Canis lupus familiaris: one gene and its partners. The protein of the gene in region 3 purifies or fractionates together with the protein of the main gene of each other region. This does not show direct contact. Links are inferred from orthologs where the notes say so. Each region holds a gene or a part of one and is shown on either strand. Other genes may lie near its edges. The genes, in order: ARPC5, ARPC3, ACTR3B, ARPC1B and ARPC5L.

Region 1 (4,242 bases), on a different chromosome or scaffold from region 3:
GAGGATTTTGGAAAGAATGCTAAGACACCAGCGTCTGACTCACCTTCACGGCCTGACTCTTGGTGTTGATAGGGGGATTTTTCAGAGCTGCCTGTAGGGCGGCTGTCATGTTTCCTGTGATGGAGGTTAAGGGGATAGCAGCAAAGGGGAGCCTTCAGAAAAACATCGGAACTACCAGGTATCATTGGTTCTTAAGACTTGACTTTATACGTAGAAAGAAAAATTACCACGATCGCTATGTTCAATATTGGAAAACTCAGTATGTTGGTTTCAAGGATGTCAATCACATGTAAAACACAGAGAACATAAGAGGAGGTAATAAGGCAAAGACCAGTTCCGGCCTGGCTCTAATTACTAAATGAACACTTCGAGAGCCTTTTATTTTCCAGTAAGACACATATGAAACATTATTCAGAGTGATACGTATATTTTAAATTACATATCTACGTATTAGAATTATTAGGTCCCCAAATGAAACAGCATACCCTCAACCAAAATGTCTTTTTATGTGATTCTTAACTGGAAAAATATGGACCAAACTTTTGCTAGAATTATATTCTATCTTAATTGAAATACTTGTAGAAAATGCTGGTAATTATTCCAGCACTCTACATGATACACATTAGTAACCTCTCAATATTAACAAAAGATCTAATAATTCAATGTCCTTTAGGCTGTAGCTTAATTTTTCTGTTTTGCATATTTTCTCTTATACTTCCAAAAAGGTCATTGACACTGTTTTAGGTCATACCTATTAAATTTAGTCTTTGAAAGCACCAGTGAGTTAGCAAGTATGAGACACGGAAGGCCAATCAGACTGTCAGAATATACAGTCATTCCCCTAAAAGGAAAACCACAGAGTTCATTTGTTCCTCCATCTGTAGTGCCTGACTAGAGCTGGTCTCTTCTGGTTGCAACAAGAGAAGAGACAATATCTTTTAAGATAAAGAGATTAGAAAGCAGATCCATTTTATGGATCCAGCCGTACCAGTTGAGAGTCAGCACCCATCAACCTAAAGTTAGTTCACAAAACGTCATTTATCCATTACAAAGAATGTTTTCAGACAGAATAATGTTCATTGCTTATGTTTGGAAAAAAAAGAACAAAACAAAACCAAAACACCCCAAAACAAAAACCCCCTATGGCTGGTGGTAAGCTGTTATTTCCAAGGCTTAACAAACTTCTAGAAAAGCTTCCTTTGGCAGACTGGCTCATTTTTAAGACCTTAAAGCACTTACGTATTTAAATAATGCAACAGAGCAACAGCTGACTGTGAGAGTTGTGGAAATCAAAGAAACATCTGTATGTTGGTAAATGTTTAATGCTGTATTTTAGGTGCCTTTAAGACTAGATATAGTCACAACCAATATTTTCACTCCTATTTCCCCATTATACTTTAATAGAACATTGATGAGGAGAGGTTTAAAAAGTCTTCCCTATCTTATGAATACATTCAAGAATAATTAGAAGTGAGTGAATTCAGTAATTGAGAATCTCTAGAACTACAGCTTTAGCTGTTGCAACATTTACATTTTTCTAAAAGAGATGTGGTGCCAAATACTCGCTCAACACTGATGAATATTCAAATATGCAAAAAAAAAAAAAAAAAAAAAACAACACCAAAAACCCCAGGAACTGACAGCCGCATTTTAACTGAAATGGAAATGGATTTCAGGATTGCAAAAAATAAAAAATAAAAAAAATAAAAAATGATGCTGCTTTGCGCAAAATGACTCATCGTCTATTTTGCTCATCATCTACTTTATTCACTGGGGCTTATCTTAAATATTTCCAGGGATTCTCCACCTGCCATCCCTGTGCATTGTCCCCTTGCTTCGCAGGTAGAAGCCTCCAAGCTTCCTTGTCGGGAGCTGGCCGTTTCGTACTCACTCCGTTTCCCCGGGGCTAACACATTCGTATCTGCAACAAATTCCTTTCTCTGTAAATAACTATAATTATTAAAAGGGCCCAGGGGCTAAAAAGGCCAGGGGGCCTCGACCGTGCACACCGCCCCATGCCTCCCCGCGAGGAATGAACTCTCCTAACGCGGCCGAAGAGCGAACCGCCAGCACCACGACGCAGGCAGCCCGCTCCCCGCAATCGCACACCTCCGGAGGGGCGGGGGGACCTCCGTGACCTCGGGCCCGGGCCCCTGCCCCTCCCCCCGGGGCCGGCGGACAGCAGCCGAGGCCTCCCCTCCGAGCCCCGAGGGCGCGGCCGCCCCGCCGCTTCCCGGGGCAGCGACTCGGGCCGCCACCTGAGGAGTCGGGGCGGGGGCGGGCTCCGGGGTGACCCGGGGTGACCCGGGGTGACTCGGCTAGACGCGGGAGCGCCCCCGGCCGCCCGTCCGGCGGACCCCGCAGGGCCAGAGCCGCCGCCCCTGCCCCGGGAGCGGCCCGGCGGGCGGGGTCCCCGGGCGGGGTCGCGGGGTCCCGGGGCGGGGCGGGGCGGGAGCGCGGGGAGGCCGGCAAACGCCAAGGATATTGCCGCAGGCAGGAGTCCACCTCGCCTTCGTCGGGCCCGGCCTGCCCGTCGCCCCCGTCCTCCTCGTCCACGAACTTGTTCTCGTCGTACTCATCCACGTCCACCTTCCGGAACCGGGCCGACGACACCGTGTTCTTCGACATCGCGAGCCGGACCGGCGGCCTAAGCCTCCTCTCGGTGCTGCCTCGCCCTCGGGAAGCGCAGCCCACCAGGAACCCGCAGCCCGGGCGCCTTCACTTCCCTCTTCCGCTCTGGGGCGTCGCCGGCAGCCGCGGCTCGGACGCTTCTGGGCCTGCGCGCTGGCGGCGCTCCTTCCTCCTCGGCGACATGCTCTCCGCCCGCCGCCCACGCCGCCCCCGCTCCTCCCGGGCGCGCGCGCGAGGGACGGCGCGCCGGGCGCAGTGCGCAGGCGCGGGCTCGCGGCAGGAAGGGGGCGGGGCGGGGCGAGGGAGGCGGGGGCGGGCGGGGGCGGGGCCGGGGGCGGGCCGAAAGCGGCGCCGCGGGCAGAGGTGAGAGGCGATTGGCCGTCCGCGGGCGTCACGTGATCCCCAGGGGGTTTCCATAGCAACGCTTCTCTGCGGTCCCGCGGAAGGGGGGCGGCGGGGGTCTTAGGCTGGCGGCTATGGGCTCTGGGGGCGGGTGGCTCCTGCTGCCGCCGCCGCCGCCGCCGCCGCCGCCAGCGACCTGTCGCCGGGGTCCTGCGTGAGGTCCGGCTGGCCCGGACTTGCCTGTGGGGTGGGATGGACTGGTGGCCGGACCGAGTCCCCTGCAGTTGGCAGGAGTATGGGGCGGAGTGATGCGCGCCCGGGCGCCCAGCGTCGGTCTAGTTGTCAGAGGCATCACTTGGGACCGTGCGCTGCCCGTGGCTGCGTTCCTGAGCCGGGAGCCCCTTTCCCGGGGCTGGAGCTACGCCGCGCGGCCAGCGGGAAGTCCCCAAGGACGGAGTCGAAAGGTCGTCTCTTATCTGGCTGTGCTGTGTGACAGCATCCCGACGGCACCTGCAGAGCCTGAACTAGGTATCATCTCCTTGGGGAGGGAGACGGAGGTTCTGGGCAAGGGCTCGCGTGGCAGACCTGGGGCGGACCTGTGGAATTTGGGGTAGGGTCAGTCACCGGCATCTTAAAAATAAGTGGTGGTTTGGAGCAAGCACGGAAGAAAAGGATAGGGGCGAGCTATGCCCTCCGGTGCTGTGGGGAAACAAAACGTGTGAGGATTAGTAGGTTTGAGATGAAGATTTATATTTGTGATTTGAGATTTATATGATCCTGCTAGGCCAGCTTTTTATTACATTGGACATCCTCGTTTCTGAGAGCAAAGCCCTTACTGAGGAGGCAAAGGCACTAACACTAAAGAAATGGTAGTTGTGCTGTGTGTGTAACACCGAAGCACAAATATTTGCAGAATAAAATTATTTTGGACATTTAGCTGGACGCTGCTCAGATAGCTTTATGTTTTCCTGACATCCTCTCAGGTCTCGTTCAATTCCACCTCTAGCAGAAAGCCAGCTGTTGCCCTGTTGATACCCCAATCCTTGGTTTCCTGTGCTGTATTGAAACGAGCCCTGGACTTAGAATCAAAAACCCTGGCTGAAGTATTGACTTCCACTCATAATCTATTTGATTGAGGCATGCCACTTAAAATCCTCAATTTCAGGTTCCTCGTTGCTAAAGTGGAGCTAATAATAACGTACTTCGCGAGATTGTTCTGAGGACTAAGTACGGGAAAGTGTTCTGAAGCTCTAAAATTCTACATAGATG
Region 2 (4,239 bases), on a different chromosome or scaffold from region 3:
ATGTTTTGAGGAATTTTGAAAAATATTGAGGCAAGCTGGTTATTAAAAACAGCCGTTAATGGGATGCCTGGATGGCTCAGCAGTTGAGTGTCTGCCTTCGGCTCAGAGTGTGATCCCTGGTCCAGGGATTGAGTCCCACATCGGGCTCCCTGCATGGAGCCTGCTTCTCCCTCTGCCTGTGTCTCTGCCTCTCTCTCTCTCTCTGTGTCTTTCATGAATAAAGAAAATCCTTAAAAAAAAAGCCATTATTAAAAATTAAATTATGTAAATTTGCATTTAAGTGCATTATATTGAAAACAAATGTGATAAATGCTGAAAATTCATTACTTCATATTTTTAAAAATTATTTTACTACTGTCTATGATCTTAAGGTTATATATAACTTTTGTATCTTTGTGGCAGAAATGCTATATAATGGTGTGCTACTGTGCATCTTCCAATCCCATATTCGGTGATATCACATTGGTAACTGGTGGGAGTATTTATGCTATGGAAATAGGCAGACACTATATAAATCAGGGGTACATCACCCCACCAGCTCTTGTTAAACCAGAACCCAAACACTGGCTTTTCAGTTCTGCCACTTCCTGGCTATGTGTTTGACCAAGACATCACTTCTCTTCACCTGTTTCCAAATTCATAAAAAGAAGAGTTATCTACTGCCCTCAGTGAGTTAAAGGAGCAGGGAAAATCCCATTTATTTATTTATTTTTTATTTTTTAAAGAGTTTATTTATTCATGAGAGAGAGAGAGAGAGAGAGGGAGAGAGAGAGAGGCAGAGACACACAGGCAGAGGGAGAAGCAGGCTCCATGCAGGGAGCCCAATGCAGGACTCGATCCCAGACTCCAGGATCACGTCCCAGGCACCAGGCAGAAGGCAGGTGCCAAACTGCTGAGCCACCCAGGGATCCCCGATGTCTGGCTTTTAGTAACAGAAAAGCCCCATTCATATATTCATTCATTTACCAAACGATTATCAAGCACCTTCAATGTGCAAAGCATCATGAAAAAATGGTATGCAAGACCAGTATCTCTGCCCCTGAAGAACTTTCAGGCTAATGGAAGAGGCAGATATTAAATAAGTTATCGCAGGGAAATCCAGGAATGAGCACAGGACTTTAAAGTCCTAGCCTTAAGGAGCACCTGGGTGACTCAGTTGGTTAAGCATCTGCCTTCAGCTCAGATCACAATCTCAGGGTCCTGGGACCAAGGCCCATGTTGGGGTCTCTGCTTAGTTGGGAGCCTGCTTCTCTCTCTCCCTCTGCTCCTCACCCCTGCTCAGGGCTTACTCTCTCTCTTCTCAAATAAATAAAATAAATAACTTTATTAAATAAAATAAAATTAAAGTCATAGCTTGAAATATTGCAACCTTGGGTAAGTTATCATACTTCTCTGGGCCTCAATTTCCTTCTCTGCAATACGGGAACAATAAGCATGGACTTCACAGGGTTATTGTGAGGATAACATGGAGTAACTTACATGCAGTGTATAGTTCAGGGCCAGTCTGGCACACGTCAGGAATTGAATGGTACCAACAAGACTCATTAAGTATCTCTAACTATAGCTTGCTCCTCTTTGTCATCAGTAATCCTTTACCTAAAGCAGCCTCCACCCTCTCCTTCACTAGCTGTCTTGTTTGTTACCCATCTATTTCCTTCATTGCATTTGTCACTACCTAAAACTATCTTAGGGACAGCCAGGTGGCTCAGTCGGTTAAGCGACAGGCTCAGGTCATGATCCTAAGTTGGTGGGATAGAGCTTCTGGCTCCACACTAAGTTGCAGACTACTAGTCCCTCTCCCTCTGCTGCCACTTAACCCCCTCTCCCTGCTGGCACTCTCTCTCAAAAAAAAATCTGTAAAACTATCTTTTTCAATTTACATATACACGTTTGTGCTGTCTCCCCATTAGAATGTACACTCTTTGAGCCTAGGGATTTGTTGGCTTTATTCACTGCTGTAACAGTACTTGGCATGCAGCAGGTACTCAGTAATGTTTTTTGAGTGAGTTTATCACGTTATTGAACCTCCTTTACCTCATCTGCAAAATGGAGACCATGATGGTGGTGAATTCACTCCACCAGACTGGCTGTCAGAAATGAAGGACAACCAGACACTACTATCATCTTGCTCCTACTCTGATGCACACGAAAACAGAAGCATTTGGAAACCAGGAGCGGACCCTGCGTCTGCTCTGGCGGCCCTACACCCAGCAGCTAGGGGTGGCCGCCACTGCTGGGGAGACAGAGGAGTCCGGGAAGTGGGGTATGGCAGTGACAAGCAGCGGGAGGAACCCGCCCCCTGGGGCCAAGGAGGAAGTGGGCCTGTGGGGGGAAGAAAAAGCAGCCGGATCCTAGACTTGAAAAATGGAAAATAAAAAGCACAGCCCTTGTCTTCTCGGCTCCAGTGAATCTTTGGGGATTCTGCTGGAGTCGGGGGATACAGAAAGAAGGAGAGAAGGGGCAGCACTGCAGCGAAGAGGGCGAGAGGGGCCGAGCCAGCCTCCTCTCCACGCTCAGGGTCTTTGGCCCCAGGTGCTCCGGCCCCGTCCCCCTCGCCGACACCCCCGGGCAACCCCATCCTACAGCCACAGGCCCCTCTTCCTAGCTTCTCCCCTTCTCAGGCCCCGCTTCTTCTCTGCCCTCCTCCGCCCACTTCTCTCAGCTCACGCATGATTTCTCGCTGCTCTCCCAGTTCTCACCATCTCCCACACTGCGAATTGGCCTCCTTACCGGCATCTTGGCGGCGACCGGGTTTCTAGCCAGACGAGGCTGGGGATAGAGCTCGGCGCTTCCTGTCCGGCGGCCCGGGCGGGGTAGGCGGAAGTGAGCCGGAAGGAGAGGGGGAGGGGAGGACGCGGCACTTCCGGTCTCGCGGTCCCGCCGGAAGCTGCTGCGGCTGCGCAGGGACGAAGGGGCGCCAGAGGGCGCCCGAGCACTGAGTAGGGATTGTGAGTGCCGTGCATGGTAAAGTGTGCGCGAAATGGGGCTAGATCTTGGGTTTCAGAATCCTCGGCATCCACCACTTCCTTGATTTTTCCTCAAATTTCATCTTTCTAGGAAAGCATTCTCTGGATCACATTATTTTAAATTCAGTCCTACCCCACTCCTCTGCGTCATCCTGATTTCCTTATGATTTTTTTTTTTTTAAGATTTTATTCATGAGAGGAGGACAGAGAGGCAGAGACACACACAGGCAGAGGGAGAAACAGGCTCCATGCAGGGAGCCCGATGTGGGACTCGATCCTGGGCCTCCAGGATCATGCCCTGAGCTGAAGGCAAGACACTAAACCGTTGAGCCACTGGGCTGCCCTGTTTTGTTTTTTTTTTAACCTAATCTTAGAAAGCACTTCAAATGTTAGTTTGACTTTCCTTTCTTCTACGACAATAAAATTTCTAAAAATTATGCAGATCAGGGTGTTCTCACCCTTTCATACTCAGGGCCACAGACAAGAGTCCTGACACAGGACAGCACATTCCCATGATGCCCATTCAAGTTCTCTCCTGCTGGCCGTACCTCTCCACCGTACAATAGCTCACCTTGATGGACTAGGATGCAAATACTTGACTTATGCCCCTGGCCTAACCTCCCAGACACAAGTTACCACTGATAGCTGTGGTTCTTCACACATGGGGCATCTTTAGTTAAAATGGATCAAACGTGACACTGCAGGTGTACTCCTGCTACCTAGCCCAAGAATGATGAAAAATTTAACCTGTTTCCAGTTTTCTGTAAGGGTTTAATTTGTATCAGCTGGAAGATCCAGGCCCAAATAGCCAAGGAAGACTGGGCTGTAATGAGGATTAAATGAAAGAGATTATGTAAAATGTTTCTTAGCACAAGGTCTGGCAGAACTCAATAAATTAGATTCTGCTTTTCTTAACAGGGCCTAGCCCATCACAGATGGACTAGACACTCCCCATTGCTTTCATACCCAATGCTACTGAAAATAAACAATTCAATCAAGGTGCAATTCTTTTCTTTAAGAAGAAAAAAATGTCTTTTGCCTTTTTTGTGCATCTGCTATTATTACCCAGGAAAGTATAAATTTTTAAATGCTCAGACACAATTGCATTTTTAAAGAAATCACTGGCTACATTTTGACAGTTGGGCAAATTTAGTCATTCAAAAATTTGCCCTGGATGAGTATTTCAGATTCTGACTAAAAAACAGGAGTGTAATGAAAAGTTAGCACTATTTTTATATTTATTTTATTTATATACATATGTTTTTTAAAAGTT
Region 3 (3,515 bases):
ATTTCTCTGCAATGTTTTATTTGCACAAGACCAATTAAGTACCGTAATCAGGGCCCATAACTCAGCTCAACTTTATTTTATAGTAAGATTTAAACCCTGAGGCACCTGGCTGGTTCAGTCAGAAGAGCATGAGCCTCTTGATCTCAAAAGTCATGAGTTCAAGCTCCACAGAGTGTAGAGATTACTTAAGAATAAACAAATTAAATAAACTAAAAGGGACTCCTAATTCTTACGAAGTGCTTCAACCTCTGAAAGTATATAAACCAAGAGGTGGCACAAAGGGGCTTGGGTGGTCACCCTGGGGGCCTGCAGAAAACCAACACAAGAAGCCCCACTGGAGCCCTAGGGTACCCAGCCTGGGAACCACCCCACTCTGGCCTTCCTGTGCTGAGAGACAATGAGCCCCCTCAGATTTTAGACGCTTCTGTTGAGCCTTCTGTTACTTGCCAAAAAAGCACCCAATTCATACAAATAGATTTAACAAGAATTAAAAACTCTCCAGAGAAGAATATCTTGAGTTTAAAATCTAAGATAGCTCAGTGGTTGAGCGTCTGCCTTTGCCTCAGGTCATGATCCCGGGGTCCTGGGATCCAGTCCTGCATGGGGCTCCCTACTCAACGGGAGCCTGCTTCTCCCTCTGCTCCTCTCCCCTGCTCATGCTCGCTCTCACTATCCTTCTCACTCTCTCAAATAATAAAATCTTTAAAATCTTTAAAAATTTTTAAAATAAATAAGAATAAAAAATACAATCTAAGTAATCTGAAAAAATAAAATCTAAGTAACTTGGAATATTGAGGGATATAGTCCTCTTAGCTGCAGTTACTCACCATTAAAAAGTAATGATCCTCAGGCTCAGCTCGAAGATACTTAAAAATCACTTGTTCCATGAACCTTTCCATAAGATCCCAGTCCTCAATAATTCCATGTCTTATTGGCCACTATGGCAAGAGAGAGCAGAACACATCAAGCTTGAGCTCACAGCAGTAAGAGCAGGAGCCCAACAACGCTGGCCCAGGACAGGCTGGCCTGGTAGGCAGCACGGCCTGGTGCACAGGCACTGATGCTCATTCATGGGAAGAAATAAGAGGCACATTAGCAGAAACATTCACTATACTACAGTTGATACTCTACTGTGCCCACCTCTAAGCATGAAGAACCATCTTTACTGTGGGTAACAGATGGAAAAGTGCACACCATCCACTGCGCACTTCAATCTGGAGCTTTTTTTTTTCTAGAACAAATGTCTACTTAATTTTTGTCCTTTTTTTTCCCCTAAATTAATCAATCTGTAACTTCCCATATCTGACAGGTTAATTAATCAACCTGAAATTTTCCACAGGAGCAGATCTTGTTTTTGCGTGTAACCCAGCACTGCCTGTGTCAGTTCTACCTTCCAGAGTTCTGTAAGTTCACTGGATTCCCTGCATCAAAAATACCCCATTCAAAAACAACAAACCTTCTTTTAAAACATAAGAATAAAAAATATAGGGCAGCCTGGGTGGCTCAGCGGTTTAGCGCTGCCTTCAGCCCAGAGTGTGATCCTGGAGACCTGGGATCAAGTCCCACATCAGGCCCCCTACTTGGAGACTGCTTCTCCCTCTGCCTGTGTCTCTGCCTCTCTCTCTCTCTCTGTGTCTCTCTCATGAATAAATAGTCTTTAAAAAAATAAAAAATAAAAATATGCCCATAGCCCATAAAGTACAATTTCTAAAAAAAAAATAAAATAAATAAAATAAATAAAATAAATAAAAAAAACAATTTCTAGATAATCTGCCATTCTGCACTATTCATTCCACTGCTCTGCTCTTGGCTACACAGTTAAAGAAGTAAATTCCTCTGAGGAGCTCACCTTCGTGGCATACGTGGGCTTATCTATGGCCTCATCCCCTATGAAAAAGTCCAGGTCGTCGACTCCCCTCAACACCCTCCTCTGGGCTTGATCAACTACCTTTGCCGACTCTCTGATGGCAATACCTTAAAAAAAAAAAAAAAGCACAAAGACTTCCATCACTATTCACATTAAAGGATAATATAATCCCCATGTATGTACAAGCACATTTTCAATGTTAGGGTTTTATTGGGGGTGGAGGCAGTTCACAGAAAAGACAATATCAATGAGTACATAAAATACAGGAACGAGTTTTATGTTGCAGTGTTATTTTTAAAATGGTACAAAGGAACTTAGCTGATCTGCCTTTAATCAGACAGAAATGACATCACTAAATCTCTTACTTTCACCTAAAGAAATCCTTCAAGATAGTAAATGAAATGCCCATGGACTGTATTATAGGCTCCAAATTTTAAAATACAATACAGAAGTAGACAAAGTTAAAGATATGATAAAAAGAGAAAACTGAAAAATAATACCTATACACTCTAAGTCATTTTACCAAAACTCTGTATCAGACAGATTTAAAATACGTATTTTTAATCTTATTATAGAAAGATAACTGATTACATTAGGAGGAAAATAAAGAGATTGGTGGTGAATATCCACTGTGAAAAGTACAATAATCAAACAGCTGTATTAGGTAAACGTATCAATGCTTTTATGATACATTATTGTAATAAGAGTTTAACCTTGACATTTGGGAATATACTTAGTAAATAAACACACAGGACTCCACTCTAGAATTTAACATCTAATGAAATGTGGAAGCTTCACAAAGATTCAATTCTCCATTTAAATTCCTAACCCCTGGACACCTGGGTGGCTCAATTGGTTAAGCGTCTATTTTCGGCTCAGGTCATGATCCCAGCGTCCTGGGATTGAGCTTCCTGCTCAGCATGGAGTCTGCGTCCCTTTTCCTCTGCCCCTCTCCCTGTTTATGCTCACTCTCACTATCTCAAATAAATAAATTCCTAACCTCTGGTCTAACCGCTGAGCTCCCATTAACTCATCTTCACCAAATTTATTCCAAATTATTTTTAAAGCAGACTATCTGAAATCCCCAATTTATTACAAATGAAGAATCACAATAAAGATATACAAGTGAATTTGAATTCTTTTCCTCAGAAAGGCATTGTTTGCAGTAACAGGTGGAAGAGGTGAAAAGGAAAAGGTCCAGGAAAGAAACCACTCTTCCCACCTCCTTTCCTCACTCCAACTCACTGCCACGTTTGGACTCAAAGCTTCTGAGTTACAAAAGGGGGCACAAATGTAAGGGACAGGATTTCTGCAAGACTGAAGAAGCAGGTGTGGTGTGAAAATGCCAGGGGCAGAGCCTAGTGAGTGTGTTCATGCCAAAGCCGGTAAGCATGTCCAGAGCCCTGAGGCTGGCAACAGGGCAGAAAAGTCTGATGGGCCCTACCTGACTGAGGCGATCTGTAGAAACAAACAAAACGACCTCCAAAAACTGACCACGCCACTCAATGGCACAGGGACAGACCTCACACAGAACCATCTGATGCCCCCCCCCCAAAAAAAGAACCATCTGATGCACACATCATGTATTACAAAGGGCCCCTAGCAAGATGGCTTGAAGCAGACCTCAAAGTCTTCATGCAGTGTGCCA
Region 4 (3,585 bases), on a different chromosome or scaffold from region 3:
AGAAGCGTCCCAAGGGCCGGCTGCGGAGCATAGGCGCCAGCATGGTGGAGACCAGGACAGCCCCAGGGGCTGTGTCAGTGTTGTTAGTCCTCAGATGAGGGCCCCAGGGCCCTGGGAGTTCATGGGGGACCTCCTGGCCCCATTCTGCTGCACGAGGGCACCGAGGCCCAGATTGGCCCAAGCATGAGGACTCAGGCCATGAAGAGCTGGCTCTGGTTCCCACCAGTTCCGGGCTGAGCACTGACCTCACCGGGTGGGTCTGGGAGAGACGCCCCAGTCATGGAGGTCTGTTTCTTGCTCTGCCCTGGCAGGATCTTCTCGGCCTACATCAAGGAGGTGGAGGAGCGGCCAGCACCCACCCCGTGGGGCTCCAAGATGCCCTTTGGGGAGCTGATGTTTGAGTCTAGCAGTAGCTGTGGCTGGGTGCACGGCGTCTGCTTTTCGGCCAGTGGTAGCCGCGTGGCCTGGGTCAGCCACGACAGCACCATGTGCCTAGCCGATGCCGACAAGAAAATGGCGTGAGTAAAGGCCATGGGGGGCAGCAGGGGGGTGACGGGCACAGGGCAGGAGGGGCTGGAGCGGCTGACCTCTCTGTCTCTCTCTCTCAGTGTTGCCACTCTGGCCTCTGAAACGCTGCCACTGCTGGCCCTGACCTTCATCACAGAAAACAGTCTGGTGGCAGCGGTGAGGCGGGGAGGGGGAGAGTGGGAAAGGGAGAGAGGGAGGGGTGCTGATGAGGGTGGCCCTTTACTGGTTCCCTGCTCCCCCTCCCCCAGCCCCTAGTCTTTTTTTCCTTCCTGGTCCAAATAGGCTGGGAGGGGCCACCTGGTCTCTAGCATGCTCCCTGGCTGCTGTGAAGGGAGAAGGGGGAGCAGAAAATTGTGCCCTGCACTCTAGGGTTTCTGCTTCCCTACTAACTCTGGCTATGTGGGGGCAGCACAGTTGGGAACACACATCCAGAAGGGCACTGCCCTCCCTCCTTCTGCCCACTGATCTCTCCAATCCCTTTTCACCCCTCAACAAACCTCAGGTCCCGGGGGGGTGGGGCCAGGGGGGGATCAGGCCTGGTTTGCCTACAGAAGCATTCAGCTATGGGTGTTTGCCCAGAGTGGGTGTAACCAGTTGGGCAGGGCAGAAGGTCCCCAAGCTTCTAGGAGAGTCTTGGACAAGTTTTCTCAACTGGGCGTTGGCCTTGCCAGGGGAGGGGGCACCCCTAGATGCTCACCCCCAGCATGTGGTCCCTGTTGGTATGCCTGGCGTCAGCGTAGCTGTCTCTGAACTGGCACTGGCTTCCCAGTAGCTCCACCCAGGTCCTGCCACCCGGCTTCTGGCCAGACAGCCCCCATCTGTGTCACGCCTGGTCTCCAGCCTGTTGACTCACACAGAAGATAGGGGTGCTGTGCCAGCCCTCGGGCCTGCTCCAATGATACCCCCACCCTATTGCAGGGCCACGACTGTTTTCCGGTGCTGTTTACCTATGACAGCACCACAGGGACACTGAGTTCTGGTGGGCGGCTGGACGTGCCCAAGCAGAGCTCACAGCGTGGCCTGACCGCCCGAGAGCGCTTCCAGAACCTGGACAAGAAGGCGAGCTCAGAGGGCAGCGTGGCTTCTGGCTCCGGCCTGGACTCACTGCATAAGAACAGCGTGAGGTGAGAGCGGGACTGATGCCACTGGGAGGAGAAATAAAGCCAAAGTAGGGGCTGGGGGCCCTGACTGAGGAAATGGGGTGACCCTCTAGGTTGCACAAAAATAACATCGGGCCAGGATGCAAACCCAGCAGTGGGTGTGCTCTGCATTTTTTGAAGAAGGTCTGTGGGATGACCAGAGGGCACCCAACCCTGCAGGGCAGGGCTGAGGCTGAAGTGGTCCTGCTGTTGCCTCCTTGTGCAACTAGGCAGGATGAAGAGAAACTATCCACAACGCTCCAATCCTGCCAGCCACAGGTGTCCACCCTGCAGCAACCTGGGAAGACTTCCTGACTTGGCCCCTTGGCTGGGTGACCCCCTCCCATGGCTATCAGGCCGTGTTTTCAGACTAACCCCTGAGCCCAGCCTTCAGGGCTTATTGGAATGACCCCGCATGTCCTCCCAGCTCCAGGTTTTGCTTTTTGCCCCCATCCTGCTCCACGGTCACCCTGGACATTACCCCACACACGTGATTCATGCCGTTGCACATCTGGTTCTATTTCCCTGGATTTCCCTTGGCACCTTGCACATTCCTGCTCCTCCTCAAAGCAGACTCATGCAACCCCGCGGGCCACCTCCCAGGCTCTGTGCTGAGCACCCCAACTGTACATCCCAGTGCTTCTCACTGGAGTTAGCTGCTCCCCAGAGGGCAAGCAGGGCTCCAGCTGGGACCCGTCAAGCCCCCCTCTTCTTTGCAGCCAGATCTCGGTGCTCAGCGGGGGCAAGGCTGAGTGCTCACAGTTCTGCACCACAGGAATGGATGGTGGCATGAGCATCTGGGATGTGAAGGTGAGTCCTAGCCCACCATGGCCCTTCCTCCCCCTCGTCCTCCCTGGAAAGCCCTCTCCGTCCCTACAGAAGAAAGGCACTTCTTTGGGATGAAGAAGGGGGAAGAGTAGCACCACCCTGGGCACCTCCCTTTAGGGCTGGATTAAAACCAAGTCTGTCCAGCTCCAAAGCCCAGGTTCTCTGTCCTCTGCCTGGCTGGAGCTGGGATGGCGGTGAGTGGGACCACCGTGAGAACTAGCCTGTCTGTTCTGCTGTCTCTTTCCAGAGCTTGGAATCAGCCTTGAAGGACCTCAAGATCAAATGACCCATGAGGAATATGTTGCCCTCATCCCCACTGCTGGGGAAGGGGGTCAAGAAGGCTAAGGGTCGCTTTGCTGAATGTTTTTAGGGTAGTAGTCTGGGTCCCCCTGGAGACTGCTCCAGCCAGAGGGGAGGGCAAAGTGGGGAGGGGAGGGAAGCTTTTCTTACCTATTGAAGGAACATAGGTCTTTTTGTCAGAGAAATGTTTTCATTTATTGTTAAAAACAAAAATGTTCCCAAAGCACTGTGCTGGTCATGAACTGCTTCAAAAACATGGAGGTAATAAAAAAGCAATCTTAGAACTGGTCTCCTGTGTTTGGGAGAAGTCCGTATTTGCATGGGCACAGGTAGCTTGCTTCTGCTCACCAGCAAAATTGATCCTTAAACCTGAGGGTCTTCTCCTGAATACTTCCCTTTCCCCTGTAGTCCTGTGGGGAGTGGGGGTGGGGGGGCAGACCCTGGTGGCTGTCACTCTGTAGTCAGTCCTAGACCGGTGGTTGCACACCTTTCCAGGCTGCTTCTGAGCTTTAATGGAAATTGATGTTTGCAGCTGGTTTCTGATAAATGTGCTCATTTCCTCAATTTCCCCCCATTCATTCCTATTTCACTCAGAGGGCCTCTTCTGTTTAACACAAGCTTCTCACTTACCTATTTATTCAGTCATAGCTGGGTAATTACATCCACAGATCCTAATTGTGAACTGTCCTTACATTTGCAGGACAAAGGCTTCCTAAACATGCCTTCTCTCAGATTGTTCTAGGGTCTATCCCTCAGGATAGCCCCCTTGATCGGAAGAGGCCCATGATTC
Region 5 (2,409 bases), on a different chromosome or scaffold from region 3:
AGTGACTCTTTGCCCCTGCAGACTAGTTCACCTGCCCCTCCCCATCCATCTCTTGAATGATTTTGTTTTCCAGCCATACTGGTTAGTGAAGAGAGCCAGCCTACACTTCTTTTAAACTCCCGAGTCTCTGTTAATTAATTGCTCTGGAACGCCAAACCAGAAAACAGTTCCAAGGTAGACGTTATCAGTGGCTGACACCAGACTGGCCCTTGTCTGGCTGAGGAAAAGGAATTCCAAGCCAGCAGATACAAGGAGTGGGCTGCCTCCATTGTGGAAGGTGCATCAGGGCCCAGCAGGGAGCTGGGAGCTCAGCAGGAGTGGCTCCTGGGTGGTGTGGGCCCAGCTTAGTCAAGATGGAGCCCATATTAGGGAAGATGGGTCTGGGCTTTGCTCCGGTGGCTTTGTCTGTTCACACGTAGGATTCACTGCACAAACAGGAGTAGAGACCTGTTTGGGCAGAAGCCATTCCTTATTCTATTTTTGAACCTTTTTGGCTGAAGCCAGTGTTGTAGATGAGGAAATGAAAGTTGGCTGATGTAATTCAGTTTAAAATAGGTGTCACCTTTGGGGACCTAACCCAGATTGTCATTTTCTTTTGAGTGCTGTGTATTCAGAACTCAGCAAAGAATGTGTCAAGATTGCAACTAAGGTTGAGGGGAGAGGGAAGGCTTGGCTTATATTTTGGGAAAAAGCTTTTAAATGAATAAACCTCCCTCTTAGTAGTTGGGACCTCACAGACCTGGATAGGTCTTGGAAGATAGAAGTTTTAGCACATCTTAATTTCTTTAGCAGCTTAACCAATGAAACAGTGGATAAAGAGGAGACCTCCATTTGTGCCTTTGTTCTTCCTTTTTGAGAATGAGAATGTGAGAGGGATAGTCTCACATCATCGTGAGGACCCAGCAGGGCAGACATGGTGCCCAGTACCAAGCAAGTGCAAGTGAGCTCAGTCAGATTCTATTGCAGGTCACCCCCAGAGGGCACTTGCTTTGCTTCTGCCTTCCATGGTAGGGGAGAAATGTCCAAATGTGTTTTGGGGGCAGCAGAACGAGGGACTTGCACAATTGGCAGAGGTGCTCTCTATTCTTTGTGTGGCTCAGGAAGGCTATAGGCTACTCTCTAAATGGGCTGTGGCCACCTGGAAGCTGCAGTGAAGTGTGTGTGTGGGGGTGGTGGTGGATGTGAATGTCATTTGACTCTTCTCCTTTGAGCTGTTTTTGAAATGAGTTCATTAATAGAAGCGTGGACATGCTTGAGCCGAGCCATCCTTAACTGGTGGTGATGCACAGGGGACATGCTTCGGGCATTCCATGCAGCCTTGCGGAACTCTCCCGTCAACACCAAGAATCAAGCTGTGAAGGTAAAGGGGATCATGCTGCCGCTTTGCTGGGTGGTGCTCGCACCAGGGCTGTGATTGTCTGTGTCCGCAGCTGAGGGCTCCCTGGGGCTCCAGACAGGGTCTGTTTTGCGTCCACCTCAGTGAGGATCTACCAAGAGAGTGAGTTGGCACTGGGCAGTGCTTCCATGGAAGCCTCCTGGCACTCCTGACATCAAAACTGTCTATGTTTATAGTAAAAGCTCCCCAAAGAAACATTCACTCCTCCCCAGGGCCTCATGGGGGTGAGAAGTTGGCCCAGCCCTTACTGCTTAGCAAAACTCTAAATTAGCTTGCCACATGGGACTTAGCAGTGTTTCTGCTTTAAAGGTTTTTGAATAGGCTTTATTTGCATAAGGATTTTCAGTCAAGATTTCCTGCCTTTTAAAAAGAAGGGGAGAAGATGCTTACTGCATCACAGCTGCTTAGAAGCTGTCTGAACTTGGGTTCAGGGAGAGGGGTCTCTCTGAAGCTGGGGTTTTGCCATCTTGTGACAGCATGGTGATGTCAGCAGCGGTTGCACCTCCTTGGTGGGGGGAAATGCCCCCCCCCCCCCCCCCCCCCCCCCGTGTTACTGGGGTGAGTGCAGAGGGAGACTGCAGCTTTTCTTACACCTGTGAAGAAAATAGACATGTTAAGAAAACAGCTGTGATCTGGTGGCATCTGAGGCCCGGCCCATGTCATAGAGGCAGGTTTCTCCCCAGTAAACCACTCACTCTCCCCCAGATTAGTGGAAGAATTTATGGGCATAAAGAAGGGATATGTTGACATGTAAATAAATGAGAGGATTTGAGCACTTATTTTGCAAGCAGCCCAGACAAGTCAGTAATTGGTCAGTGTTTCTGAGAATTCTGACCAGTTGGTGGGGCATTCCTGTGCCTGGGCTTTGGCCCTGGGCATCGCTGCCTCCTTCTCCTTCACAGGAACGAGCCCAGGGCGTGGTGCTGAAGGTGCTTACCAACTTCAAGAGCAGTGAGATTGAGCAGGCTGTGCAGTCGCTGGACAGAAACGGCATTGACTTGCTAATGAAGTAC

What was found.
Region 1: the proteins of ACTR3B (region 3) and ARPC5 purify together in Homo sapiens (affinity purification with mass spectrometry; 5 studies listed by BioGRID and IntAct, counting the BioPlex papers as one, with this or other methods). This does not show direct contact. The link is inferred for Canis lupus familiaris from reciprocal best matches to the Homo sapiens genes ACTR3B and ARPC5.
Region 2: the proteins of ACTR3B (region 3) and ARPC3 purify together in Homo sapiens (affinity purification with mass spectrometry; 6 studies listed by BioGRID and IntAct, counting the BioPlex papers as one, with this or other methods). This does not show direct contact. The link is inferred for Canis lupus familiaris from reciprocal best matches to the Homo sapiens genes ACTR3B and ARPC3.
Region 4: the proteins of ACTR3B (region 3) and ARPC1B purify together in Homo sapiens (affinity purification with mass spectrometry; 5 studies listed by BioGRID and IntAct, counting the BioPlex papers as one, with this or other methods). This does not show direct contact. The link is inferred for Canis lupus familiaris from reciprocal best matches to the Homo sapiens genes ACTR3B and ARPC1B.
Region 5: the proteins of ACTR3B (region 3) and ARPC5L purify together in Homo sapiens (affinity purification with mass spectrometry; 3 studies listed by BioGRID and IntAct, counting the BioPlex papers as one, with this or other methods). This does not show direct contact. The link is inferred for Canis lupus familiaris from reciprocal best matches to the Homo sapiens genes ACTR3B and ARPC5L.

What each region holds. Positions count from the first base shown.
Region 1 is NC_049228.1:16,863,838-16,868,079, forward strand, and holds the start of ARPC5 (actin-related protein 2/3 complex subunit 5), read right to left. Parts: upstream 2,806-4,242; 5' UTR 2,629-2,805; coding exon 2,486-2,628; intron 117-2,485; coding exon 44-116; intron 1-43. UniProt on the Homo sapiens protein: Component of the Arp2/3 complex, a multiprotein complex that mediates actin polymerization upon stimulation by nucleation-promoting factor (NPF).
Region 2 is NC_049247.1:8,505,868-8,510,106, forward strand, and holds the start of ARPC3 (actin-related protein 2/3 complex subunit 3), read right to left. Parts: upstream 2,809-4,239; 5' UTR 2,737-2,808; coding exon of another isoform or gene 2,731-2,736; 5' UTR 2,703-2,730; coding exon 2,700-2,702; intron 1-2,699. UniProt on the Homo sapiens protein: Component of the Arp2/3 complex, a multiprotein complex that mediates actin polymerization upon stimulation by nucleation-promoting factor (NPF).
Region 3 is NC_049237.1:17,238,211-17,241,725, reverse strand, and holds part of ACTR3B (actin-related protein 3B), read right to left. Parts: intron 1,975-3,515; coding exon 1,850-1,974; intron 939-1,849; coding exon 828-938; intron 1-827. UniProt on the Homo sapiens protein: Plays a role in the organization of the actin cytoskeleton.
Region 4 is NC_049227.1:10,274,261-10,277,845, reverse strand, and holds the end of ARPC1B (actin-related protein 2/3 complex subunit 1B), read left to right. Parts: intron 1-311; coding exon 312-518; intron 519-608; coding exon 609-684; intron 685-1,446; coding exon 1,447-1,652; intron 1,653-2,386; coding exon 2,387-2,477; intron 2,478-2,742; coding exon 2,743-2,781; 3' UTR 2,782-3,084; downstream 3,085-3,585. UniProt on the Homo sapiens protein: Component of the Arp2/3 complex, a multiprotein complex that mediates actin polymerization upon stimulation by nucleation-promoting factor (NPF).
Region 5 is NC_049230.1:58,229,880-58,232,288, reverse strand, and holds part of ARPC5L (actin-related protein 2/3 complex subunit 5-like protein), read left to right. Parts: intron 1-1,287; coding exon 1,288-1,360; intron 1,361-2,298; coding exon 2,299-2,409. UniProt on the Homo sapiens protein: May function as component of the Arp2/3 complex which is involved in regulation of actin polymerization and together with an activating nucleation-promoting factor (NPF) mediates the formation of branched actin networks.